Linked DNA regions of Arabidopsis thaliana. The protein of the gene in region 1 purifies or fractionates together with the protein of each later gene. This does not show direct contact. Each region holds a gene or a part of one and is shown in the gene's direction. Other genes may lie near its edges. The genes, in order: AT5G11770, AAC3 and AT4G32470.

Region 1 (3,756 bases):
GTTAAGAAACCACAGACTTTATTGGACTTCCGACTGAATACACATATAGAAAGCACAGGCCACTAGTTTCAAACTTTCAAGTCACCCAGAGAGAAAAGACTAAATAGATTATACATAGTTTAGTCAAAGAACCAACCACTCCCATTAATGAAGTTAGATGCAGATATGGCTCCAGCAGCATCTTGAGAATGACATCTGTCACAAGAACAAGAACACATGATTGAAAACAAAACCAATTGAGACATCTGGAAGCTTATGAAAAAGGAGTCACTAGTCACATAATGCTTCTCTATTTCCCACAGAATGCAAAGTAGCTAAAGAAAAAGTAACACTCACCAAAAAAGAAGCAACTGTGGAACCCAGATATCATCTGAAGCACAGATTCCTGCAGATCTTTATCTAGCTCGGATCTACCTAAGTCCAAATCAAACCTCGAGCACAAACTGAGCAAGAAAACCTGAGAAGCTACGATTCCAGCTAAGTAACCAACGCCACAGGACTCAGAATCGATCTCTTTACGCAAAATTTCACTAGCAAATGGCATGAACACCTCCAAACAATCCTCAACTCTACAATTATCTTCCACTTCATCCACAACCCAAACTCGACTCAAATCAGCAAAACTAAACCCAGAGACCATCAACACATCATCATCTTCATTTCCAGGTTCATCGACACAGTACATGCTAATATAGCTCACAATCCCTTCTAACAAGCTCAAAGCATCTCTCCTCCTAGAAATAACTAAACGACTCAACTGGTAAACAACGGGAGATAACAGCGATACCTTCTTAACACCGGAAAACGAATCGGAAAACGAAACTATCAGCTGGAAGAAACACGAAGTTAACCTAACGGAATCATCCCGGAAAGCTAACTTGGAAGAGTAGAATCTGATGGCGGAGTAGAACCAGACGAGCTCGAGAGGTGGTGGTTCGGGAAGATCGTTAAGAATACGAGTGAAAATGGAGTCGAAATCGGAGAAATTGGTTCGTCCGCCTCGGTACTGTAACAAGAGCTGCTTGATCGAGTCATTGAGAAGCGGTTTCAGAAATTCGAGGTGACTCTGAGGTCTGGGTTTACAAATCGGAGGTTGCATTTTGGGAATTTTCCGGTGACAGAGAAGGGATTTTGAATTTTGGGAAGTTGGAAGGAAACAGAGAAACCCTATTGAAATTCAAAGAAAAGGGAACGAATAAAGAGAGGGAATCCCAATGTTAAACATAAAAAAAAAATGTGTACATTACATTTTCAAATTGAGTTCACTCCAAAAACGTACAAGACTACTAGTATATTTGTTTTATTTTCATTATGGCAAATACGATAAATGATTTATAAGTGTGGATTAACGAAAATTGCTAGTTACTAAATGATTTATGAAGTAAGGATAAATGCAAATTTCGAAAATTGGCTAATCAGCTAATTTGCCTAAAAGAAATAAAGAGAAAATGCTATGACTTGATCCATTTTTAGCCTTTCTACTTCTTTTCTTTTTGGTCATATGAAACTTTATCAATACAACTTATGTAGAATCATCTTAAAATACAACTTCTAATCAAGAGAAACTTAAACCGACAGACAAAATAAAGTTTTCGTAATTACGAAAAAGTGATTTCTCCAGAATCTAAACCCTATGAACAAAAGACTTAAAACGTCGTAAATACGAACATGAATTTTTAAAACAAATAGAAAGATTTTTCCTAATTATACTGTTATACATCATGTGATTTCTCCAATTCATATCAAAATACAATTGGCTCTACACATTCCATATAAATTTTCTATCTATTTTTTTTTCTTCCTTTTCTTGATATCACGAGTCATACAACCACAATCAAAAACTTAATACTTTTAAAGATTTGATAAATTTTCTGTCTAAATAGTTTTTGTAATGAGAAAGTTACAAGAGTAAATTATTATTGCCAAGTCATTGTTTTATGAAATAAATGAAATACTGTACAAAAGGTGAAAAAAAATGATACGATTACGAGTCATATAAATACTTCGCCACCTGCGTTTAGTAAATGGTTAGAGACTCGTTTGGTTATCACAACTCCACGACGAGAGGAAAAAAAAAACTCAGAGAGACAAATCTAAATGGCGATGATTACGCGCAACACCGCCACGCGCCTCCCTCTCCTCCTCCAATCTCAACGCGCCGTCGCCGCTGCCTCGGTCTCTCACCTCCACACATCCCTTCCCGCTCTCTCTCCCTCCACATCACCGACTTCCTACACCAGACCTGGTCCTCCTTCGACCTCCCCTCCTCCTCCTGGTCTCTCTAAAGCGGCCGAATTTGTGATCTCCAAGGTCGATGATCTCATGAACTGGGCTCGTACCGGATCGATCTGGCCTATGACCTTTGGTCTCGCTTGCTGCGCCGTCGAAATGATGCATACCGGTGCTGCTCGCTACGATCTCGATCGATTCGGTATCATCTTCAGGCCTAGTCCTCGCCAGTCTGATTGTATGATTGTCGCCGGTACTCTTACCAATAAGATGGCTCCGGCTCTTCGCAAGTACGCTTATCTTTCTCTATCTCCCTTATTCATGGAATTAACGGCTGATTTATATCTTTGGATCTCGGATATAGTTTTGTCGTGGGAAGATTTCTTCTAATTTCACTTTGTGCGTTTTCTGCTTTAGAGGCCTCTGAATTAGGTTTTCGGAGGATATAATTTGGGGGTTTCTATTGGAATTTATTCTTTTCCGGCGATTTTAGGGTTCATGTATTCTGATTGTATTGCTAGGTCTGTGACAAATTGAGAATTGCTGTATGGATATAAGAATGACTTGGGAAGCTATACAGTTCGTATTCATTGTCTAGCGCAGATTTAACTAGTGTTTCGTCAAGTTTTTTGTTCGAATTTCATGAAATTGGGAGCGTTTTAATTAAGGGATGAACAAATATGGTGGAGTTATATCTCTTTTTATGTGAGCTCTGTGCCCGTCTTTTGAGGGGAGTTAGGAATTTCAGATTTTCTAGCTTGGTGTTCATTAGGGAAACATGTGTTAGTGTCTTACTAGTAAGAGGTTGGAGGTTCATTGTTATGATGTTTTCATTATCTTGTTTTGTAGTTCCGTCTGTTGACTGATTAGAATCTTGCGTGATGATTTTGCTTAGTTAGAATCTGAGACTTGATGCACATATTTTCTGCTTGGTGTGTGTTTTATAGGAAATTGATATCCGGCACACTTAAGAGATTCCTCTTTTTTTTGTTTGATGTATGAAGTCTTCATTCAAGTGTAGAACTTATGTTCTTTAGATGAGAATCCTGTTGTTAAGAAACGTATGCCAATGGCTGCTGTGCTTATATTAATGATAACTTTAGGCCCAGACACTTAGAAAATATCCCAAGTCAATCTTAATAGCTAGAGGTTGTGTAAACATCAACCAATAAGACGAGCACATTTTAGATGCATTCGGGAGATGATTAACTGCTTTCTAAGTTGGTTTAGATTAGTTCTTATACTGAATTTAACTATTAGTCAGAAACTAGTATATAGAGATATGTGCAGAAATCAGTCTTGATCTGGTAAGATTGAGAGAAGTTGTATATGCGGATCAACTCAAATGATTTATGGTTCTGTTCTTCTTTATCCTGTGTGAAATTCCAACTTCTAATGTTTGAATACAATCACAGGGTTTATGACCAGATGCCTGAGCCAAGGTGGGTGATTTCAATGGGAAGTTGTGCCAATGGAGGTGGATACTATCACTACTCCTACTCGGTGGTTCGAGGATGTGACAGAATT
Region 2 (3,756 bases), on another chromosome or scaffold:
CGGATTTGTACCCCCATTCCCCTGAAACAACTCGCACTATGCACCCAAAAACAATTTCAATTTACTTTCACATCAATCAATAAAGGGTTTTCCTGTGCTACTCGCTGCAGCTGTTATATAGGTGGTGTTTCCGTGTTGGTAACTTGGTATATGGAAATTATGTAACATTGTATTATAGCTGATCGATTGAAATAATCGTGGCTTTGAAAGTGTTGGATCTACTCTGCTGAAGTCACTGGATGTATTTAATTAGGTTGTTGCCATTTACTCATCTGTTAAAAAACAAAATTTTAAACCACGTTCCTCTTTGTAAAAAGCTAAAAGCCTCGTTATGTTATCCGTTTGGCTATGTAATTATAAGTGTAGAAATGTCACGAGAGCCAGAAGTTTTGTCCTTAAGTTTTGATTCTTAATGGACAATTTTGGCATTTTTTGCTTCCCGTAATAATGGTTATTGTAAAAACTAAGAAATAGAAGAGAAGCCATATCTGATGAATATACATATATATAATCGCTTACAGAAAATTCTTCGTACTTTTGTAACACTAGTCACTATTACATCTACAATAAACTCGATTATATATCATTTGTAACTATATAGAACTGTTACAAGGCTTCCCTTCCCAATATTCATAGATATATATCCTGGTAGTTAATTTAATTTCTCAACGTCGGGATTCTTGGTGTTTCTGAACCTGTAATGACAAAATTATACCAGTTCATTAGTTCCTTTATGCACAAGGAAAAATGTAATATATAACATTTTCTTCTAGGAAAAGATTTTTAAAAAACTATGGAGAGAAGAATGAAAATAACTGAGAACAGTCCATATCAACGGAGATGGGAAAGCTGAGAGTAAGAGAACAACGGAGAGGAAGGTTATTAATAGCGGCGGGAAGAAAAGGAAGATGATTTGCATTTCCCATTATCTCAATGCACAGACACACTCTCTCTGTTTCTCCACTATCCTGCCTATTCCTCGATCCCTGCGTAGTTAATATAATTATAGATGGTGAAAGAAGAAACCGAAATAGAAGAATCGAGAATTAAGTCTAGTAACTGGAGACGTAAACTTGACGACGTTGTTCAAGTGGGTCACGCCTCTGCAGCAATCTGGAGAAGGTTGTTGAAATATTCCCTCGACGAAGCCCATGCAGGGCATGAAACTCACGAACACGTCTCTGCAATGTTCCAGCGGATTATTGTCCTGGGAAACGGCGGTCTTCATCAGGACCAAGAACGCTACTACCAATATGGCATGTATCTTCATTGAACTCAGTACACTAGCTAGCGAAGGTGATATATATGATTCGTGTACGAAGAGAAATCTATATCTATATATTATATATATAGTAATCAATTCGTTTCTAAGGTGGAGTTTATTATGCATGGCTTAGTTTAATGAACACATGTAGTTCTCATGTTTCCTTCTTACTCGGATGAATTCCAGCTGAGTTCTCTTTTAGTTTTCTTGAATCTTTTGAAATAATCTACCTACACATATTAAGGTTATTGCATGTAATTCGAGTTTATTTTATATCGCATGACATGTATGATGTGTCTTGTTATCTAATACATGAGCCGATATCATTGCCTATATTCTGGTACTCTCAATACGTATCGGTTTGTTTCATTGTTTGTAGAACATTTCTCTAACTAGTTTTGGATCACTAAATTCGAACCACATCACCTTCCTTGCATCTGTAAAGTTCTGTCCGGCTGAAGAAGAAAAAAAAGATTCAACTTTCTTTCTTGCTTCTTAAGTAACATCCAATTTTTTAAGACCTAGTTAACAAGCCTCTATTATATTTTTCCGGCAAACCAAAAAAGTCTTGATTATTGTTCTATTTTTCTATATTTAATTTTCAGGTAGATGAGACATATATCACATAATGATAAAGAGGTCTCTCACTTTCATTAGGTATGAATTTTATCTTCCTAGGAAAATAAATTTTGGGTCCATTTAGAAGAAGTCAAGACTCGGGTCCCTTAAAATTGGGCCCAGAAAGAAACGGGTCAAAGGAGTCCAGTAGCATTTTCGTAATTGTACCTTCTCTTCTGCTCAGTTTCGTCTTTTAGTTTAGGACCAGAAGTCGAGAATCATGTAGAAACCTACTCTTCTCGCAATTTTCCACAGCTCTCTCTCTCTCTCTCGTTAACGCTTCGGCGAAAAATCCACGGTAAGCTCTCGACTCCAGAAGTTCTAGCTTTATCATTAATGCTTCTCTCCTAGCTCTCTCTGTTTTTTTGTTCTGCTTCTCGTGAATTCTGTTTTCTCGACGCCACTCGTTGCTTGATCTTTTAGAAACAGAGGATTTAATTGAGCTGCTGCAACTAGGTTTTAATTTGTGCTAATTAGGTCGCATTATAGTTGACAGATTGAAATGGTGTCTTTAACGAAGCTAACTAGGATCGTATGAAATGTGTTGATGATGTCTTCTCTGTTTTTGTTCCAGTTTTGGTTATGATCATTCTTTTTTAAGCATGCAAATATAGAAATTTTCGAGAAAGCAAGATTTTGTGGTGTTTAATTTGTATTTTTGTTTTGTTTTGTTTTGTTTTGTTTTTCAGAGTCAGCTTTTACTGATTTGTACAAAAAATGGATGGATCAAAGCATCCATCAGTCTTTCAGAAGCTACATGGACAATCTTACTTGATCAATAGACTTTCTCCGAGTGTGCAAGCTCGTGGTTACTGTGTCTCTGGTGCTTATGTCAATGGAGGTTTGCAGAGTCTATTGCAGCCAACTAGCCATGGCGTTGGCTCGTCTCTTATACCTCATGGTTCATTTCCTGTATTAGCTCACGCTCCTAGTGAGAAAACTGGTACTGGTTTCTTGATCGATTTCCTTATGGGAGGAGTCTCAGCTGCTGTTTCGAAGACGGCAGCCGCGCCTATAGAGCGTGTGAAGCTCTTGATTCAGAATCAAGATGAAATGATCAAAGCTGGGCGTCTCTCTGAGCCATATAAAGGAATCAGTGATTGTTTTGCTCGAACAGTCAAAGACGAAGGAATGCTTGCTCTTTGGAGAGGAAACACTGCCAATGTTATCAGATACTTCCCCACTCAGGTTTGTTTTCTCTTCTTTGACGTGGTATTTGTATAGACGTCGAGATGGGTATGCTAAGCAAATAGTTTTGTTTTGCAGGCTTTAAACTTTGCGTTCAAAGATTACTTCAAGAGGCTGTTTAACTTCAAGAAAGAAAAAGATGGCTACTGGAAGTGGTTTGCAGGGAACCTGGCGTCTGGTGGTGCAGCTGGTGCATCATCTCTGCTTTTTGTGTACTCTTTGGATTACGCTCGTACCCGTTTAGCCAATGATGCGAAGGCGGCCAAGAAAGGTGGTCAGCGGCAGTTTAATGGCATGGTCGACGTGTACAAGAAGACTATAGCCTCTGATGGCATTGTCGGGCTTTACCGTGGTTTCAACATCTCATGCGTTGGAATTGTCGTGTACCGGGGGCTTTACTTTGGATTGTATGATTCCTTGAAGCCTGTGGTTCTAGTTGATGGTCTCCAGGTAAAAAACAAAGAAAACTCCTCACTTCAACATATTGAGTCCTCTGTTACTGTTTACTCATTGCTATAATCTGTACAGGATAGCTTCCTTGCTAGTTTCTTACTGGGATGGGGAATCACCATTGGAGCTGGATTGGCGTCTTACCCAATTGACACGGTTCGCAGAAGAATGATGATGACGTCAGGTGAAGCAGTGAAGTACAAGAGCTCTCTTCAGGCCTTCTCTCAGATCGTCAA
Region 3 (3,756 bases), on another chromosome or scaffold:
TACAATTTCTTGTATTGATCAATTGTGATTTTGACAAGAAAATTGAAATGATAGGGTCTTTAGAAGCTTTGGGGATAGCAAAGGAAAATTATAAACAAACACCACATTTCGCCTAGGAATAGCAGAGAATTCCACATTATTTATGTAGTTTTTAAACATTTAGTTCTTGAATTTAAGAGCTTTATTCAGGAAGAAGAGTGGGATAAGAAGGAATCAATATGGAATACTTTTTTTTCATAAATTCGTTTGTCTCCCAGCATTTAGACTGATGGGATATTCCCATCCTAAAAATAAGAATCTAAAACATTGTATCCTAAATATCTATCTGTAGACACTTTATTGTGTTTTTATAAAGCAACAATAATCAAATCAAAGTTCACAATCAATCTAATGTCCAAGCAAAAACAATTAAAGTGCTACTAAAGTTCCATTTCTTAATGATCTACAAAGTGTTGTTTATCTAATAAATTAAGGCAATTTGCATTCATCATATAAATTAAATACAACTTTTCAGTGTAATATATATGGACCTCACTATCAAACACTTATGAAATATTGGAATGTTGTGTAAAAGTGTAAAAATCAAATCTTAAATAAAGATAACTACTATCAATATGACAACAATTTGTGACAGTACAAAATTTAAACTAAACTATAATTTCCATTTTAAAAAAAAAATTGAGACGGCCAAAAAGGGCCAATTAAAAAGAAGGCAAACGTGATATTAATTAGTTACTGAATAATTAACTGCCATTGAGGCCAAAACCATGTGCTATGAAAGCTGTTTATCAGCGAATTATAACATTTTGTGTAAAAGAAAGACCAAGTCTACACAATTTTTAAAACATTTCAGTCCAGTAAAGTTAATCATCAGTTCATCACTCCAAATTTTATAACTTATATACGCATTTGCTTGAATAATTCTGCCATACAATATAATTTTATGTGATTTGATAAATATATATCTAATTAAATTAACGTGAGCTTAGCAGAGAGAGTATTATGTGCTAAGCTAAAACCGGTTTATACTGTTCAAAACATCAAATATTGAGACAAGCTCATATAGTCACTATACATGCCCACATGCATTAACCACTCAGTCAGACGAGTTATATATGGTTGTCTTTTGAAACAAACAAAACAAACTTTTACAATTCATAGTTGTGCGTTATTATCGGAACACAATTATTTGGAAAACAAAAATTATGAACTCATGAAGCTAAATGGGACTGAACTTTAGGCCTACTTCATATTTTACGATAAGGATGATGACGACGACTTCGTGGCTAAAAAATAGCAATTAGGATATGGGTCGTGATCAAAAATCCCACCAAACTAAAAATATATCAAACTAAATCAAGTACCTACTACATGCATGATTATCTCTTTAACCTAACCTTAATTAAAGTTAGTTTAGATATTGACAAGAAACTGTTTAAAATGCTTTGCTAAGAAAGTGGGAACACAAGATTTGAGAGTATTTTTGTTAAAGTCACAACATTTTAACCTTAAATTACACTTGCAACTTGAGACGATACTTAATCACTTTTTAAGTTAATTTAATCATAAGCAGACAAAAACATGCCTTTCAACTCTCAAGTAGTGGTGTTAGCCGGAATCCAATTCGTCTAGAGTAAAGAATGAAGATACAATTATAATTGTTTAACTTACCTCATCTATATAACAAGATTATCATTTCTCATTCCAGCTATTAAATTAAACCCTCTTTTTTCACAACTGGTATATCAATTTTGTGATTAATCTAGTTACCATTCATACAACTAGCTTTGCCTATACATAACATTCACATGAGTTTAGTGGATTTTACAACTTAAATTTCCCCCATTTTTTTTTTTTAAGTAGGATCGAATAAGAGTTAAATGCATGTATTTGTGAAACACGAAACAAAAGGGTCACTAAAAATTTGCACCAGCCGGGAATCGAACCCGGGTCTGTACCGTGGCAGGGTACTATTCTACCACTAGACCACTGGTGCTTCTTGTGAATTATTAAGACAAGTTAGTTTATAATCTAAATACAAGTTATCACTGGGCCTTAAATGACGCTACAGCTGAGCGACTTAAGGCCCAAATATTACTACGTGAGTACGTGACCTATATATGTCAAAAATACGTGAAGCTTAGATGGGCCACTTAAGGCCCAAATAAATACGTGAAGCAGAGCTTATGTGATTATTTCCTCTCTCAGGTCAGGAGTTGTTGTAGACACAGCAGCTTGGTCTCTTTCATTGGCACAAAGAGAGAAAATCTGAAATTGAGAGAGACAGAGAAAAATGGCGTCGCTTCTGAAAGCATTCATCGATCCAAAGAAGAACTTCCTCGCTCGTATGCATATGAAAGCCATATCTACTCGCCTTCGCAGATACGGTCAGATCTCTCTCGATCCATAACCCTAATTTCTGAAATCCGAGTTTGTTGTCAATGTTCATGAGTGAATCTGAATCTGCTTTGTTTTGTTTGGTTTGAATGATTAATTAGGTCTGAGGTACGATGATCTGTACGATCAGTATTACAGTATGGACATCAAAGAGGCTATGAACAGATTGCCCAGGGAGGTCGTTGATGCTCGTAACCAGCGTCTCAAGCGTGCCATGGACCTCTCCATGAAGCACGAGTACCTCCCCAAGGATCTTCAGGTATAATTCTTCATTCTCTATTTCTTTGGATGAAATTGATGTTGTTAGAATCAATCTAGAATATGGATAGGTAACCCAGGCATTTGAGCTCGAATATTGATTAAATGCTAGAAAAATGAAGAAATTAAGATATCAAATTGAAATCGAAACTAGTTCATCAGAAGATATTACTTTACTTTGGGGATTTTGTGATTGTGGAGCTTAGATGTATATAAACTAGTTTATGCATAGTCTATGCTTGTCTCTTGCGTTACTGTGTTTGTTCTGCTGTTGCTTGAGATTATTGGAAATTTTGGATTGATGAAAGGTTGAATCCTTGTTACATCTTTTTTTTTCCCTTTCAATAAAGTAAAGTGGTGTTTGCATGTATACTATTGTATTACTCTATGGTTTAGACTTTTCGATTTTTGTTACTTTCTTATTTGATGTTGTTATTAGATAAGAATGTAACTGTTATTATTGCTGGCTTAATTAAGCTATCAAAAGTTCACAACTTTAAAAGTATAAGGCTCTTTTAGTTTTCCAAAATTGATTAAGCTATCAGAAATTGCAACTGTTAGGTAGTGTTGTGGATATTGTAACTTTCTTATTTGATGTGGTTATTTCATATACAGGCGGTGCAGACCCCATTCCGTGGCTATCTTCAGGACATGCTTGCTCTTGTAAGTCTCCTTTTTGATGAACTAACATAGAAATCATTATCTGCGTCTAGGGTAGGAACAATCAAACTGCAATTCAGTGTCATAAAAGCGTACTATTCCTTCTTGAAGTAAAGTTTCCTCTTTCTTTTGGGCCTATCTGCTTCCCTGCATTGACAATGATGAAAACTTTGATGAGATGCATGTCTTTTCCTTCGTTATTTGAAGCAATATGTTTTTTTCAGATCTTCAATTTCCCTATTTCATGAAGTATTGCATCATAAAGAAAATGTTTGCAATGTTTGAAAAGTTCTGAGTGTAACTTTTCTGTAAGGATAGCCCATCATCGTTGTCATCATCCCTGTCTTTATGTTGTGATTTGCAGGTTGAGAGGGAAAGCAAGGAACGAGAGGCCTTGGGAGCTCTACCACTATACCAGCGCACACTCCCATAAGCATTCCT

Evidence for each region.
Region 2: the proteins of AT5G11770 (region 1) and AAC3 fractionate together in Arabidopsis thaliana (co-fractionation; one large-scale study listed by BioGRID). This does not show direct contact.
Region 3: the proteins of AT5G11770 (region 1) and AT4G32470 fractionate together in Arabidopsis thaliana (co-fractionation; one large-scale study listed by BioGRID). This does not show direct contact.

What each region holds. Positions count from the first base shown.
Region 1 is NC_003076.8:3,791,271-3,795,026, reverse strand, and holds the start of AT5G11770 (NADH-ubiquinone oxidoreductase 20 kDa subunit), read left to right. Parts: upstream 1-2,000; 5' UTR 2,001-2,097; coding exon 2,098-2,519; intron 2,520-3,644; coding exon 3,645-3,756. Other genes in the region: AT5G11780 (SNF2 domain protein), read right to left, coding at 137-195, 337-1,099. UniProt on the Arabidopsis thaliana protein: Core subunit of the mitochondrial membrane respiratory chain NADH dehydrogenase (Complex I) that is believed to belong to the minimal assembly required for catalysis. Complex I functions in the transfer of electrons from NADH to the respiratory chain.
Region 2 is NC_003075.7:14,041,625-14,045,380, reverse strand, and holds the start of AAC3 (ADP/ATP carrier 3), read left to right. Parts: upstream 1-2,033; 5' UTR 2,034-2,180; intron 2,181-2,196; exon of another isoform or gene 2,197-2,338; intron 2,339-2,571; 5' UTR 2,572-2,599; coding exon 2,600-3,070; intron 3,071-3,148; coding exon 3,149-3,520; intron 3,521-3,598; coding exon 3,599-3,756. Other genes in the region: A7 (Bifunctional inhibitor/lipid-transfer protein/seed storage 2S albumin superfamily protein), read right to left, coding at 653-695, 817-986, 1,061-1,390.
Region 3 is NC_003075.7:15,669,633-15,673,388, reverse strand, and holds the start of AT4G32470 (Cytochrome bd ubiquinol oxidase, 14kDa subunit), read left to right. Parts: upstream 1-2,139; 5' UTR 2,140-2,293; coding exon 2,294-2,387; intron 2,388-2,498; coding exon 2,499-2,656; intron 2,657-3,270; coding exon 3,271-3,318; intron 3,319-3,368; coding exon of another isoform or gene 3,369-3,369; intron 3,370-3,679; coding exon 3,680-3,748; 3' UTR 3,749-3,756. UniProt on the Arabidopsis thaliana protein: Component of the ubiquinol-cytochrome c oxidoreductase, a multisubunit transmembrane complex that is part of the mitochondrial electron transport chain which drives oxidative phosphorylation.